Lonchura striata: one gene and its partner. The protein of the gene in region 1 purifies or fractionates together with the protein of each later gene. This does not show direct contact. Links are inferred from orthologs where the notes say so. Each region holds a gene or a part of one and is shown on either strand. Other genes may lie near its edges.

The links. The genes of interacting proteins can lie anywhere in the genome.
Region 2: the proteins of RC3H1 (region 1) and FAU purify together in Homo sapiens (affinity purification with mass spectrometry; 3 studies listed by BioGRID, with this or other methods). This does not show direct contact. The link is inferred for Lonchura striata from reciprocal best matches to the Homo sapiens genes RC3H1 and FAU.

Annotation. Positions count from the first base shown.
Region 1 is NC_134611.1:27,340,163-27,347,381, forward strand, and holds the start of RC3H1 (roquin-1), read left to right. Parts: upstream 1-4,134; 5' UTR 4,135-4,324; intron 4,325-7,219. UniProt on the Homo sapiens protein: Post-transcriptional repressor of mRNAs containing a conserved stem loop motif, called constitutive decay element (CDE), which is often located in the 3'-UTR, as in HMGXB3, ICOS, IER3, NFKBID, NFKBIZ, PPP1R10, TNF, TNFRSF4 and in many more mRNAs.
Region 2 is NC_134638.1:178,783-186,083, forward strand, and holds FAU (ubiquitin-like FUBI-ribosomal protein eS30 fusion protein), read right to left. Parts: upstream 2,907-7,301; 5' UTR 2,838-2,906; intron 1,265-2,837; 5' UTR 1,257-1,264; coding exon 1,182-1,256; intron 1,096-1,181; coding exon 951-1,095; intron 865-950; coding exon 809-864; intron 717-808; coding exon 591-716; 3' UTR 557-590; downstream 1-556. Other genes in the region: MRPL49 (large ribosomal subunit protein mL49), read left to right, coding at 2,970-3,035, 3,630-3,768, 4,527-4,648, 4,722-4,868.

The DNA of each region.
Region 1 (7,219 bases):
AGAAATACAGCAAGGAAGTAAAGTGCAAGATAAAGAGGTGGCAGCATGTGGGACTTGGCAGAGACTCCTGCCCCTGCCCAAGTGGACTCAGACGTCAAAGGGACACCATGGTCACTTCAGCAGAGGGCACTGGAGTGACAAGGATGTGGTGTGGTACTGCCTCTGCCTTGCTCTGCCTAGTGTAACTACAGACTTGCTCTGCTGCAAATTCTTGTACTTTCTGTTGCTTCAAAATTTTTATCCCAAAAAGAGAGGAGATGTGCTGAATGATATTGGAAGGTCTGAGAATGCAGCAAAGCAGGCAATGACATGTAAGTAAAAAAAGCAATAAGGAGGAGAATCTGGGGCACATAGTCCTGAATCACCATTCTGCATCCCACAACACCAGTGGGACAAGGATGATGAGATGGGATGCTTAAGGAAGTGAAAGCTCTAATAATCAAAACAGAGTTTCTTACCTTCCTTGTAATTTCTTCTTTTTTCACAGCAGCTGCAGTCAGAGAGTGTACTTACATAGACCTTTGCATTCCAAGTAGGCTGGAAACACAAACATTAATAATTGTATTGATATTCTACAAATTTATTATGAACAGCATCAAAGAACTGAAAAAAAAAAATAAACCAATCTGATGTTTGGTGGGTTATATAGTATTATTTATTTGTGCAAAATGTGAATTTGTGAATGCTTGGGAGAGAAGCTTTCAAGGAGGAACGCTCATTTTAGAAATATTGACTTCACATTCCTTTAGATCCTCTAGGCTTCTTTTATACATCAGAAATTGATACCTTGTGTGTTCTGTTGGAGATTCTGAGCATGTCCACAGTGTAAGGCTGTATTTTGCTAACAGTGTTTTATTATTTAAAATAAGCATATAAACTAGCTCCAATAGTAGCATCTGTATCCCATGGCTTGGATGACATTCAGCATACTCTTTAATGAACATCGGATTCTTTTTCAATGATTATGTTGGATATGGATACAGTCTTCTGCTTTTGTCAGTGGAATTTTATAGAAGTGCAGGAATTTAAGGTTTGATAAAGTGATGGTTTTAACATGATGGTCAAGCATCATGTGGTAAGGATTTTCTTTTTTATAATCTGTGGTTTTTGAGCAAGAATCTTCACTGTGTGAAATGCTTGCAGCCACCTGAAGAAGTATTTAATTCTTGCCTTCCATTCTGATATCACAGGTTTCAGAATGAGAATTTTTCCTTTATTATCAGCTTTATAAGTCGCATTGCTAACTAAAATAGCAAACTGAAACACTGCCAAGACATTTAAAAAAACACACATTTCTTTTTTTAAAGACAGCTATCCTGGTACCACAGCTCTAGAGCAGTTATATGGAAGGAGTAGTATAAAAATTGAATGGTGAGATTATACCATTTGACAGTCATACTGGTATTTTAGGTATTTCTCTCAGTCATAGAGGCTAAAATGGGAAGTAATTTTTAATGTATAATTTGAAGAACATTACTAGTGTGGACACAAATGTCAGATCTTAGAATCATGCCTACACATTATCCCCTTTTGGATGGGAAAAAAGAGACAAAGGAACTGAAAACTGAGACTATATGCAGTAGAAGAAAAATTCATTCCTGTGGGTTTTTAAGAACATAAAAGAAAGAACAACGTAAATAAGTGGAGATGAATTATAGCTGATTTAATGATAAGCTGAAATGATATTTGAAAACAGCAGTCCTAAAGACAAATAACATTTTGTGTTTCCAATGCTAAAAGCAGTGTATCATGCAGGAAAAAATGCTGCATAACTGGGGAAAGCAGACACTAAAAGTAATCTAAGTTATCTACTGGGATCAGATCCCAACAAGAGAACAAGCTAATCTACAAATTTCTGAACTTTCAGAAAACATAATGAAGAATAAACATTAGAAAAGCATGACTCTGATGGAAGTCTAAAGTGGAGTTTGAGAATTAAAGTGCTCATTTGTGCAGTGTTACATAATAAGAACAATAGGTGGTTTCATATCCCCCTTATTTAAATTTCAGCCATGTATTACTGTGGTAACCTATGCCATGGTACTGAAAATTGTTGTTAGCATGTTCCTACTGGTAATGCATTTAAATGTTGAGGGAAAACATAAACTACATGAAAAATGAAACCTTTCCACAATACAGGAACCAAAAGACAAAGTGGTAGAAGTCCCCCAGACTGGAATATTAAAACCCAGACTGAACAGAACATCAGAACACTGTACAGTCACTTGCTAGAAACTGGGAAGTAACAGGATTCAGGCCCTGACCATTTCCAGCTTCTATGACATTAAACCAAGGTTGCAAAGAACACCTACCATTTTAGCTATTCCTAATGCCATCTTCTGCTTCTACTCAGGACACTGACAACTCCAACAAGGTTCATGTTTCTACTGTAACATTTAAAGAGGCATCTGCAAAAGATGGCGATTATTGTTTGGAAAGTGTCTGTGGTACAGAATATCAAACTGGTTGGAAACACCTTAAAGTTCATCTTGTTCCAAACCCTGCCACAGGCAGGGACAGCTTCCACTAGACCGGGTTGCTCCAAACCCTGTCTTGTCTGGCCTTGGCCATTTCCAATTTACACTTATTTTCTAGCTCATAGTAAAGCTTTTGCTAAGTCAAAGGTGCTCTTTGTAAATATCCTAATCTTCTGTGTTCATAAGATCGCAATGCCTTTGACTGTGGCTAGAAAACTCTGTTTTCAGAAATTAATAGCTTTTCTTAATACTATTTTATTTCAACACTGATCCTTGATTAATATTAAGGTTGTTTTGGTGGAAAAGCCTAAATAATAGAGATTATTTCTTTAGTAAAACAGACAGAAATAACACTTTTAGTTACTAGCATCACATTTCTTGTAAAGTTAATGAAAATCTGTCTATGGCCAGTACAAGAGTCAGAAATAGAAGCTGAAGAGTAACCGTCCCCTATGTATTTTTTTTCTGTGTGTAGAAATTTGTGTCTTCTGTCTGCATGTCACAACCCAGGCTTTCTTTTGCAGGCCTGGTCTCTTGAGTCCCTGGCTCTGGGCATGGCTACTTCTGACTTGACAATGTCCTATTTATATTTCCAGGTCATGCAGTGCTGTACTTCAGATGCTGAACTGACAATAATACACTGGGTGCTCCTTACAATGTTATTAAAGGAAAATAGAAAAGCACTGATTCCCTGCACAGCATCCTGTACAAGGCATCACAGTGGGATTGATCCCACAGAGCCTTTAGCTGGGCATAGGTGTGATAAAATAGATGGGCAATAAAATGGGACCACTGAATACCATTTTTAGTCTTTAAATATAGCTTCCTTTTAATTTTACACCATATTAATATTCTCATAAACAGGCATAAAGTGAATGTTACCTTGAAATATCCTGATGCTCAATAGTTAGCTCTTTTAACAATTTTAAACTGTCAGTACGTGCTTAGTAAATGCTGCAATGTAAGTGACTGCAAGACATTCTGTAACTGCGTTTTAAAATTTCTTCTGTATCTGACTGTGACACAGGAAAGCTTGGAGGGTCCCAAAACATCTTATCTGTGGTATTGGTTAAAGCTAAGGATGATTTGTGTCCTGCAGCACACAAAGCTACGGAGGACCTTCTCCAGCACCGAATCCATCTCTACACCTTCACTTGGGACTGGCACGAAAACCCCTAAAGCTCTGCCCTGCACGGCCACGTAAGAGGGAACTTAATTTGTGTTATTTTTCACTGAAGTAAGACAAGTAACCGGCTTGAAGCAATAAGGTGTGATGGCATGAGGCAAGCGTAGGGTCCGTCAACAGAGGCTCCTGAGGGAGAGAAAATGGCGGGCGGGGGCCCTCAGCAAGCTCCCAAAACACAGGAGCCACTCCGTGTGTGAAAAGCCTCGACCTCCACCCCCGAGCCCGCTATGACAAGAGGAGGTGGGAGGGGGGGAAAGAGACCCCACCTGAAAGGAGGAAGGCATCTGACATCGGAGACCGTCCCTGAGGGAGCGCGAGGTACCCTGCCCGAGACGGGCGACAGCTCCCCCGCCCTGCCCTCACGGGCTCCGGGCCGTGACTCGGCTCGTTCTCCCCGTCCGGCCGCGTCCCCGTTGCGGGGGAAGGCGGGCGCAGGAAGGGGCGGGTGGTGCGGGGAGAGGGAGGGAGGTGGGCGGTGAGAGGAGCAGTCGACGCACAAGATGGCCGCTGCCGGAGTGGCAGCGGGGCGGCGGCGGGCGATGGCGGCGCTGCCCCGGGGCCCGCGTGTACTACTGGAGGAGCAGCAGCAGGGTGCTGTGGCAGCCCCGGCGTGCCGGAGCTGAGGGGGCCGGTGGGCGCTGCAGGAAGCCCGGCCCGCGTGGTGAGTGCGCTGCCTCCGCCGCGGGGTGCGGGGAACAATAGGGCGGGAGAGCTCTGCCCGCCTTGCCGAGAAAGGAGGCGGAGGGGCGGGCGTTGGGACGAGATGATTTCCAGAGGTGTTTTCTACTTGTAACAATTCCGTGACTTTGTGCCTTGCCAGGCCTCGGGCTCCTGCCGGGCTCGATTCCGAACGCCTCGGGCGGGCGGGGAGGATCCGCGGCTCGCTGTGCCCGACGGGGGGAGAGGCGGAGGGCGGCTGGGTCCGGCTGGGGGTGGGGAGAGGCGGCATCGCCTCAGGCTGCGGCGGCCGAGGGACAGGCGGGTTTTGTGTGCCCCCTCTGCCTGCTGTTGTTTTTTCCTGGGGCTCTGCCTGCCTCTGCGCGAGAAAACTCGTCCCTGTGTCGCGTTGAACAACAGAGACGGAGGGAAAATAATGACAGAGCCCTACCCGTCCCCGGGACACCTCTCCGCCCTGGGTTGTGGCTCTTTTGTCTGTCGTGCCTGAGGGAAGAGCGAGGTGGCCGCGGCTCCCTCTGCATGGGGACAAACGATGGTGAAACCGCACAGGATCTCCCTGACTTGCACTAGTTTTTCCACCCTGGCATTGTTTTGGCTGTTGGATTACACCCACAGAGTGGGTAGGGTTTCATGCCGGGGGTGCGGTGTTGGTATAGCTGGGATTTTATTTGCTTTGATGGTTGGGAATGTCCTGGTGTCAGGTTTTGTCTTCAAAAGCCATTGTGAGGTCTGTCTTCTTTTAAAGCAGGGAGCTGATGCAGGTTTTGATTTTTTCTCCTAGGAATTACGAATGTTTTGTTTACATCTACATGCCTTCTTGTCCGGAGTGTGTCTTATTTTTATACGTTTTAGTCAAGTGCGAGTGACAAATCATTTGTTCCTCCAGTAGAAGCTACGGTTTTCTGTCTTTTTTTGCCATATTGAAAATGGCTGAAGTGGGGGAAAAAATTAAAAATTTGCAGAAATAATTAAAAGGTTCAAAGTAACCTGGATTGTGACTGAGCTGTTTTAATCATTGTAACTGTGCTGTTATTTAGTGACTCTGCTGGAAGATAAATGCAGCATTTATACTCTATTCACATTATTTGGCTATAGAAATGTGAGATAATACAGGAATACTCTGAGGCAGAAGTTAATGTATTCCTAAACTTATGTTTTCTTACTTATTTCAGGCTTATGAGGATGTGGAGGTGGTTAATTTTGTCAGCTATAAATGTCTGTATTGCTGTGTTTGAAGTCAATGAAGCTAATATGGGACTTCATGGCTATATAAATAATCCGTGTTCAGGAGCAGTTTGTACATTATTGCCAGTTTCTAAGCTTCACCAGGAGCACCATGGCTTTCTTCAATGCATTAATACACAATGCTGATAATGAAATTGTGCTTCCCACTAACATAAATAGAAGCAGATGTTATCAGGCACGTTTTCCTTTCCCAGTGATAGCTTATGGCTTTGCCTTCCTGTCCTAGAAAAGGGCCTGTCAAAGCAGACAGCCTGACAGGCTGCTTGGAGGGAAATTTAGAAAGGCAGGTACCATCAGAGCAGTCTGTTTTGACAACCAGAGACTTGAGTTTGTCAATCACACATGAGCAGCAGGAACCTTCATTGACATAAGTGGGAAGTAACTTGTATGGTTTCTGGTGTTTTGCTGTTCGTTTTTGTGAGGTTTTTTTTTGTCAGCTTTGTATCCAAACTAGTTTTGTTTAAAGTGAAATATTTTAGAAATTTCTGACAGGATTGTTGTATGCTGATAATTTAAAAAACTGCTGTTGCAGTGAATAAACTGGACATATGATAAACATATGAATCTGGAAATGGCAGACATTAATATCACAGAGTTTAATTTAGGGGCATCTTGAGGCATGTATTATTATATAAAAGTGCTCATGCAGATGAAGAGAAATGAGCAGGAATGCTTTTGGAAACTTCTGATGTGTTGCCAATGATTCACCAGCAATCTGGGTGGAGCCATTATCAATCTTGTTGAATTAGACATCACAGAAGTTGAGATTCAGTGAGTGTGTATATTAAAATAATAATGCTTTAATTACTTTGTATGTGGCTCAGAAGTCTTAGGTGACACTGATGCTGGCTACCTTTGATATTGATGGCAAAAACTGATATTCCATTTAATTAGGGTGTCTATCTCTTAACTAACCAGTGCTGTAAAAGGTTGTTTTGTGATACTTAGGAAATTGACCTTTCCCAGGCTGTAGAATGTAGTGATACGAAGGATAATTACTTTTTTTTTTTTTTTAATTCTGCACCAAGAATTTGGTTTACATGCTGGGTACCTGGGGAGAAGAAGTTTCAGCCATTTGAAAGAGCTTGTGGAGTCATACCTTTCCAATGGTATGACATGTAAAGCTGAATTAGAAGGAAAGAACTCATCTGCATGTAGGTTCCCAAACTTCCCAAGAATCTCAGAACAGTGATGCAAAAGCCTCTATAAGCTCTCTTTTAAGCAGGTGACCTTTATAAAACTTCGTATTTTTTTGCAAAACCTACTCATTATTCAGAATTCCTTTTCCACCATAGACTTATGGAATTATTTTGCAGATGAAAGTCTGTGTGGTTTTGTGGTTGTTTTTCCCACACCCAGTAAATCAGGTGGTTGTTTGCTGGAGCATCCCAAGTAACATTGGCTGGTGGGCCAGAAAAACAGATCTGATTCCAAGTACATGGCAGATAAACATTGGGGAATTAGTAGTTTGAAGTTCATGTCTTGGACTGTACTAGGTAACAAATGGAAAACCATTATCATACGGGGAAAAAAGATATAATATGTTGCTATTGTGAAAGATTGTTATATAAACACAGTGCACTGACTGAAATTTCAGTGTGACCTTCAAGATTCCATGTAGGCTCTGTTACAG
Region 2 (7,301 bases), on another chromosome or scaffold:
GTGCGCGGGGCATGCCGGGAAAGGGGGCGGGGCGGGAGCGCGGCGCGGCGGAAAAGGCGCGAAAAGGCGCGAGGGGCGCCCCCTGGCGGCTGAGGCCGGGGGAGGTTTGGTTCGGCCGGAATCCGTTCGGTAATTTCCGGCAGCGCTCCGAAGGGTTCGGAGCCGTCAATTAATTCTCATGGCGGCTTGTCTGCTCCGCGCTCCTCCAATCGGGTGTTTCCGGCTGGTTTCGTGGATCCCTCGGGTGTTTCCGTCGCCGCTCGGCTCCTCAGCCCCGCCCACCGCCGCGCTCGGGTGTTTCCGGCACCGCTCGGCTCTCTCCGCCTCCCCAGTAGAGAATCATTCCCCAGACAGAGTCTTCTCATTAGCAGCCTCCAAATTAAGGCTCATTAAGCTCCTCTCTCTAATTACCAGCCCCATCAGCTGCTCGGGAACCCCTATGAACCCCTTCTAGGCCAGCTTCACTCCCAAACCACGCGGAACGCTTCACAACCAACTTTAAAACAAAGTTCAAAAACCCCAGTAAAACACACAAAAATCTCGTAAAGCCCCAAAATGCTGGGAATTGATCCCAAATTCCTTTATTGGCCTCAGGAGTTGGCGTTGGGACCCTTCTTCTTGCCGAAGGTGGGCACGACGTTGACGAAGCGCCGGTTGTACTGCATGCGCCGCTTGGCCCGCCCCGTCTTCTTCTTCTTCTTCTCCTGCTTGGCCACCTGGTTAAATACGGGGGGGTCAGGGGGGTCCCCAAACCCCTGGCGGGGTCCCCAAACCCCCTCAAGCCAGGGGGAGCCCCCTCAGCGCTCACCTTGGGGGTCTGGCCCCTCACTTTGCCGGCGCGGGCGAGCGAGCCGTGCACCTTACCTGGGGGGAGGAAGAAAATGGGGGTGTTGGGGGGGGTCGTTTTGTTAATTAACACCCCGGTAATTAGCGGCCCCCCCCGGAATTACCGCCCAGCAGGCGCGTGGAGAGGTCCAGGGTGGTGAATTCGGGGAGGGGGCTCTGCCCCAGCACGGCCTCATCGTCCAGGGGGGTCCCAGCGTGCAGCAGCAGCTGCTCCTCGGCGGGGATCCCCGAAAGCTCGGCCACCCTCTCCTGGGGAGGGGGGCAGAGAGAGGGGGTCAGCACCCCAAAATCAGGGTGGGATTGGGGAATGGGACAGCCCGAATCTGGGGGCTCACCTTGATCTGGGCGAGGGTCTCGGAGCCGGAGAGCTCGAGGGTGAGGAGGGTCTGGCCGCGAATGAAGAGCTGCATGGTGGCGGCTGGGGAGGGGGGAATTAGGCGGTGAGGGGGGTCCCCAAAACCCAAAAATGGGGGGGAACCCCCTGGGAATGGGGGCAGATCAGGGGAAGGGAGGGAGCTGAGGGAGGAGTGGTTTGGGGGTGATTCAAGGGTTATTTTTTGGGAGGTGAGTGGTGGCTTTTGGGGGTGACAGGAGTAGATATTGGGGGCTGTGGCAGTTTTGAGGTGTTTCTGGGGGGCTGTGGCTGTTTTGGATGGGATTGTGGCAGTTTTGGGGTGTGTTCTGGGGTACTTCTGCTGGTTTGGGTGGGATCATGGCAGTTTTGGGGTGTTTCTGGCTATTTTGGGTTGTTTCTGGGGGGCTGTGGCAGTTCTGGGGTGTTTCTGGGGGACTATGGCTGTTTTGGGGTGTGTTCTGGGGTACTTCTGGCTGGTTTGGGTGGGATCATGGCAGTTTTGGGGTGTTTCTGGGGGGCTGTGGCAGTTTTGGGGTGTTTTTGGCAGTTTTGGGGTGTGTCCTGGGGTGTTTCTGGTTCTTTTGAGTGGAATCCTGTCACTTTTGGGAGCGTTTTCCAGTACTTCTCCCACCCCCCGGACTTTGTCACCTGGCCGGGGGCCATGGGGACAAAGGGCCGTGCTGGGGGTGGGGACACACTGGGGGTCACCGGCAGCACCCTTGGGTGCCCCCCACCCTCAGAGCTGCCCCCCAACGACCCCTCAAGGCCTCGAGGGCCCGCCCTTCACCCCCAAACCTTTGCAGCCCCCTCAGAACCCCCCCAAACCCCCTCCAGAGCCTTCCCAGCTGCTCCTGCAGCCCCCCCAAATCCCCAATAACCCTCCAGACCCCCCCACACCTGAATCCCCCTCAGAGCTCCCCAAACACCTCCCCAGACCCCCAAACACCCCCCAATCCCACAAAAGATGCCCCCAAACTCCTCCAGAAAGCCTCCCCACCACAAACCCCCTCAGGATCCTTCCCTGAACCCCTCCCGCCCCCAGCAACGCCCCCGTGAGCCCCTCCAGAACCTCCACAACGCTGCCCCCCACCTCAAACCCCCTCAGAGCCGCCACAAGCCCTCCCCGGAGCCCCCAGAGCCCTGAGATGCCCCCCAGAGCCCTGAGATCCCCCCGAATTCCCTCCCCGGAGCCCCCAGAGTCCTGAAATTCCCCCCAGAGCCCTGAGATCCCCCCCAGAGCCCTGAAATCCCCCCCGAATTCCCTCCCCGGAGCCCCCAGAGCCCTGAGATCCCCCCGAATTCCCGGCCCGGAGTCCCCAGAGCCCTGAGATCCCCCCGAATTCCCGGCCCGGAGCCCCCAGAGCCCTGAGATCCCCCCCAGAGCCCTGAAATCCCCCCGAATTCCCTCCCCGGAGCCCCCAGAGCCCTGAGATCCCCCCCAGAGCCCTGAGATCCCCCCGAATTCCCTCCCCGGAGTCCCCAGAGCCCTGAGATCCCCCCGAATTCCCGGCCCGGAGCCCCCAGAGCCCTGAGATCCCCCCCAGAGCCCTGAGATCCCCCCGAATTCCCGGCCCGGAGCCCCCAGAGCCCTGAGATCCCCCCCAGTTCCCGCCCGGCGCCCCCGGCCCGGCCCCACCTCAGCGGCTCCCTCAGGGCTGCGAGCGTGTGCGCGGGGAGCGCGCTGACGTCACGTGCGCGCGCTGACGTCACGTACGTGCGCGCTGACGTCACGCGGCGGGAAGGCGGAGGGGAAGAAGGAGGAGCCAAGATGGCGGCGCTGGCGGCGCTGGGCCGGAGGCTGCGGGCGCTGGGCCGGGGGCTCAGGGGGGTGCAGGTACCCTGGGGCGGGGGTTTGGGGTGGGAGGGGCTCGCTGGGGAGCTGTGAGGGGGGAGTTGGAGTGCGGGGTTTGAGGGGTGAAGGGGGATTGGAGCCTGAGGGGAAACTGGGGAGGGAGGCAGGGTTTGGGGAAAGAAACTGAGGGGGGGAATGCAGAGGGGAGATTTGGGGGGTTCCTAAAAAGGGAGAGGGGAACTGGGGGTTTTGAGGTGGAGAAATGGGGGAGGGCGATTTGGGGGTCTCAGGGATTTTTGGGGGAGGTCTCTCAGGGATTTTTGGGGGAGGTCTCTCAGGGATTTTGGGGGTCTCTCAGGGATTTTGGGGGGTCTCTCAGGGATTTTTCGGGGAGGTCTCTCAGGGATTTTGGGGGTCTCTCAGGGATTTTGGGGGGTCTCTCAGGGATTTTTGGGGGGTCTCTCAGGGATTTTTGGGGGTCTCTCAGGGACTTTTGGGGGGTCTCTCAGGGATTTTGGGGGGTCTCTCAGGGATTTTTCGGGGAGGTCTCTCAGGGATTTTGGGGGGTCTCTCAGGGATTTGGGGGGGTCTCTCAGGGATTTTTGGGGGTCTCTCAGGGATTTTTGGGTCCCACAGACCCCGGCCAGGCCCCCCGGCTATCAGGAGTCCACGGCTGAATTTGGGTTCGTGGAGCGGCTGCTGCCCCCCAGCCGCGTCCCTGAGCCCCCCCCGCACCCCAAATACCCGACCCCGTCCGGCTGGAGCCCCCCCGCAGGTCGGTAATTACCCGGGCTCATTAGCTGGGGGTAATTAGCGCTGGGGGTAATTAGAGGGGGTGATTTACCCCGAAGCAAGAATCACCGGGGTTCTTTATCAGTTAATTTATCCTGGGGGAGCTTCATGACTTTGTGGGAGGTGTTTAATTACCTTGGGGGGCTTAATTACCTTGGGAGCTTGTTAATTACCCCCGTGTGGTGTTAATTACCCTGGGGTTAATTACCCAAAACACTCTCTTCAAGAGGGAATCATCTCAGCCCAAAGAGCAAAGAAGATTTATTTACCCCAAAGTGAATTGGGCCGGGGTGGGTTGAATTTCTTTGGGGGGGTGTTAATTACCCCCAGACAGTGTTAATTATTCCTTGGTGGGTATTAATCACCCCGGGGAGGACTCCAAAATATTTCCTTGAAGGAGAAATTAGTGAATACCAAACTACGCAGAGAAGTGAATTTAGGCGTGGTGGCTGTTAATTCACTTGGAGGGGTGTTAATTACCCCCAGATGCTGTTAATTACCCTAGGGGGATGTTAATTACTCCTTGTCGAGTGTTAATTACCCCTTGGTGAGTATTAATTACCCCGGGGAAGGCTCCAAAATATTTCCTTGAAGGAGAAATTAGTGAATACCAAACTACGCAGTGAAGCAAATTTAGGCGCAGTGAAATGAATTTAGGCGGGGTGGCTGTTAATTACCCCCGGGGGCTGTTAATTACCCCCGGGGGATGTTAATTACCCCCGGGGGTGTTAATTGCTGCAGGGCCCCCCCCGGAGCTGCCCTACTTCGTGCGGCGCTCGCGCCTGCACAACCTGCCCGTGTACGAGGGGCAGCGGCAGGGCCGGCGCCTGACGGAGCTGCGCCACATCCACGGCGACATCTGGGTGAGTCGGGGGAGGTTTTGGGGGTCCCCGGGGGTCTTGGGGGGCTCCCCCTGACCCCCGCGACGCCCCCCAGGCGCTGCAGCGGGACCTGAGCGCGTTCCTGGGCTCCCTGGGGGTCCCCGAGGTGCCGGCGCAGGTGAACGAGGTGACGGCGACGCTGCGGCTCCGCGGGCACTGGGGGCCGCAGGTGCGGCAGTGGCTGCTCCAGACGGGCTTCTAGAGACCCCAAAAGCTGCCCGGAGGACCCCAAAACTGCTGCAGGACTCCAAAATCTGCCCGGGAGATCCCAAAGTCTGCCCGGGATCTGCTGTGGATTCGGCTGGAGCATCCCGAAATGGAGCCTGGGCAGCGCAACAGCTCCTGGGGGCACCTTCAGATCCACCTGGAGCACCCCAAAATCAGCTTGGGGCACCTCCAGATCCACCTTGGCCTCCTAAGATCTGTTTGGGGCACCTCTAGATCCACCTTAGCACCCCAAAATGTATTTGGGGCACCTCCAGATCCACCTAGAGCAGCCCAAAATCTCTTGGGAGCAGCTCAAAATTCACAGGGAGCCTTGGAATCCACCTGGGCACCTCCAAATTCACCTGGAGCACCCCAAAATCTGCCTGGAAGCTGCTGGGGACAGCCACAAATCCTTCTGGAGCACCCCAAAACCTGCTGGGGGTACCTCAAAATCCACACTGGGGTTCCAAAATCCACCTGGGTCACCCCAAAACCCACAGAGAGGATCTCAAAATCCACTTTGGGGTAGCCCAAAATCTGCTGGAAGCTGCCCCAAAACGGAATAAACGCCTCATAAATGAGGGTAACTCCTCACAGCCTCTTTATTTACAATGCCCACCCCCCAAATTTTGGGGAGGGGTCCCCCAGTCTGTGCAGGGGCGTGGGGAGTGGCTGCAGCACCAGGGGCTCTGGTGGCCACCGGGGCTGGAGCTGTGCTGGGGAGGGATAAAAGGGGAGGGGGATCAGCCTGGGGACCCCCCTGGAGACCCCAAAACCCCCCCCAAAAACCCCACCTGGTACCAGTACTTGTAGGAAGGGTTGGGGTCACCTCCTGAAAAGTTGAGGGGTCCCAGGAGCCCCAAGGGGTCGTCAGGTTTTCTGAGCTGGGGGGGAAATGGGGAAAATTTGGCAGAAATGTGGGGGAAAAGGGGAAAAAATGGGAAAATGTGAGGGAAAATGCGGAGGGAGCTGAGATAAGAGCAGGGGCCAATTTTGGGATTGATTTTGGGGCTGATTTGGGGCTGACTGGTGCCAATTTTGGTGCTGATTTGAGGCCAATTTTGGGCTGGTTTCGGGCTGCTTTGGGCCTGATTTTGGACTGGTTTGGGTCCAATTTTGGGACCGATTTGGGGCCGATTTCAGGGTCCCGCGGGGAGCCCCCAGCCCCATTTCAGGGTCCCCTCAGAGCCCCCAAATCCCCCCCAGACCTCTCCAAGCCCCCTCAGATCTCGCCCAGCCCAGCCCCTCCCTCACCCCAAATCCCCTCAAACGCCCCAAATTCCCTCAAATCCTCCCCAAATCCCCAAATGGCCGGCGGGAGGAGCCGAGCTTTACTGCAACCTTTATTGTATTTACACCGGAGCTGGTAAAAATTTGTACATTATTTACAAATTAAATAATTCCGCCACCGCTTCGGGGGGAAAAGGAGAGATTTTGGGGTCCAGCACCCCCCGGAACCATCCCTCCCCCTCCCCGTGGCTTCACCCCGAAACGAGGGGATTTTTTAAGGAATCCACCCAAAAAAACCCTCAAACAGACCCAAAAGAAATGATGATTTTGGCTCAAAATGGGGAAAAAAACAGCATGGAAGGGTTCAAAATCAACTCCCCAAAGCGGCGCCGTTTCGTTATTGCCAAATTCCTCACAAGCCACTCAAACTGGGGCCAAAAGTGCCCAAAAAATTAAAGGAAGAAAGGAAAAGAATCCGCCTCAAACCCGAAAATCCCAATTTGGCTCCTTTTTGCCCCAAGTCTCCCCCCCCAGCCCGTTTTGGTGCAAAAGCGCCGTTTTCCATCGATTCCGGCCGCGGGGTTGTGGATTTTTGGTTTTTCCCTGAGAATTTGGGGTTCCAGAGGCACTGGGGGCGCGGCCGGCCCGGAATTGCGGCGGGATTTGGGCCAAAAGCGCCCGGAATTGGGCAAAAGTCAGCGAGAAACTGCAACCCCGGCCGTGGCCAACCAGTCCAAACCAGTTTGGGACTGGGGGGGTGTGGGGCGAGGGGTTAATACTGTTAATCGGGGGGCAGAATTCCCAAAATTCCAGGGGGAACCCAGAAATTCCATGGGGGGGACCCAAAATTCCCAAATTCCTGGGAAAATCCCGAAATTCCCATGGGCAGGACCCAAACCGGGGGAGGGGGGGGGGAGGGGTGCCCTAAAATTCCATCTGGGGACCCCCGAAATCCCAAGGAATGTCCCCAAAATCCTCAGGATAGCCCCACAATTCCCATGGGAGGGGACCCCAAAATCCCAGGGGGGTCCCGAATTCCCTGGGCCGGGTGAGGTCAGAGGTCAAAGCCCCCCCAGCGTGGGTTTGGGGAGGGGGGGACACCCTGAAACCCTAAGGGAACAACAGGGACCCGACCCTGGCTCAGGGGAGAGGGAGAATTGGGGGAAAACGGGGAGAAATCCGGAAAAAATGGGGAAAA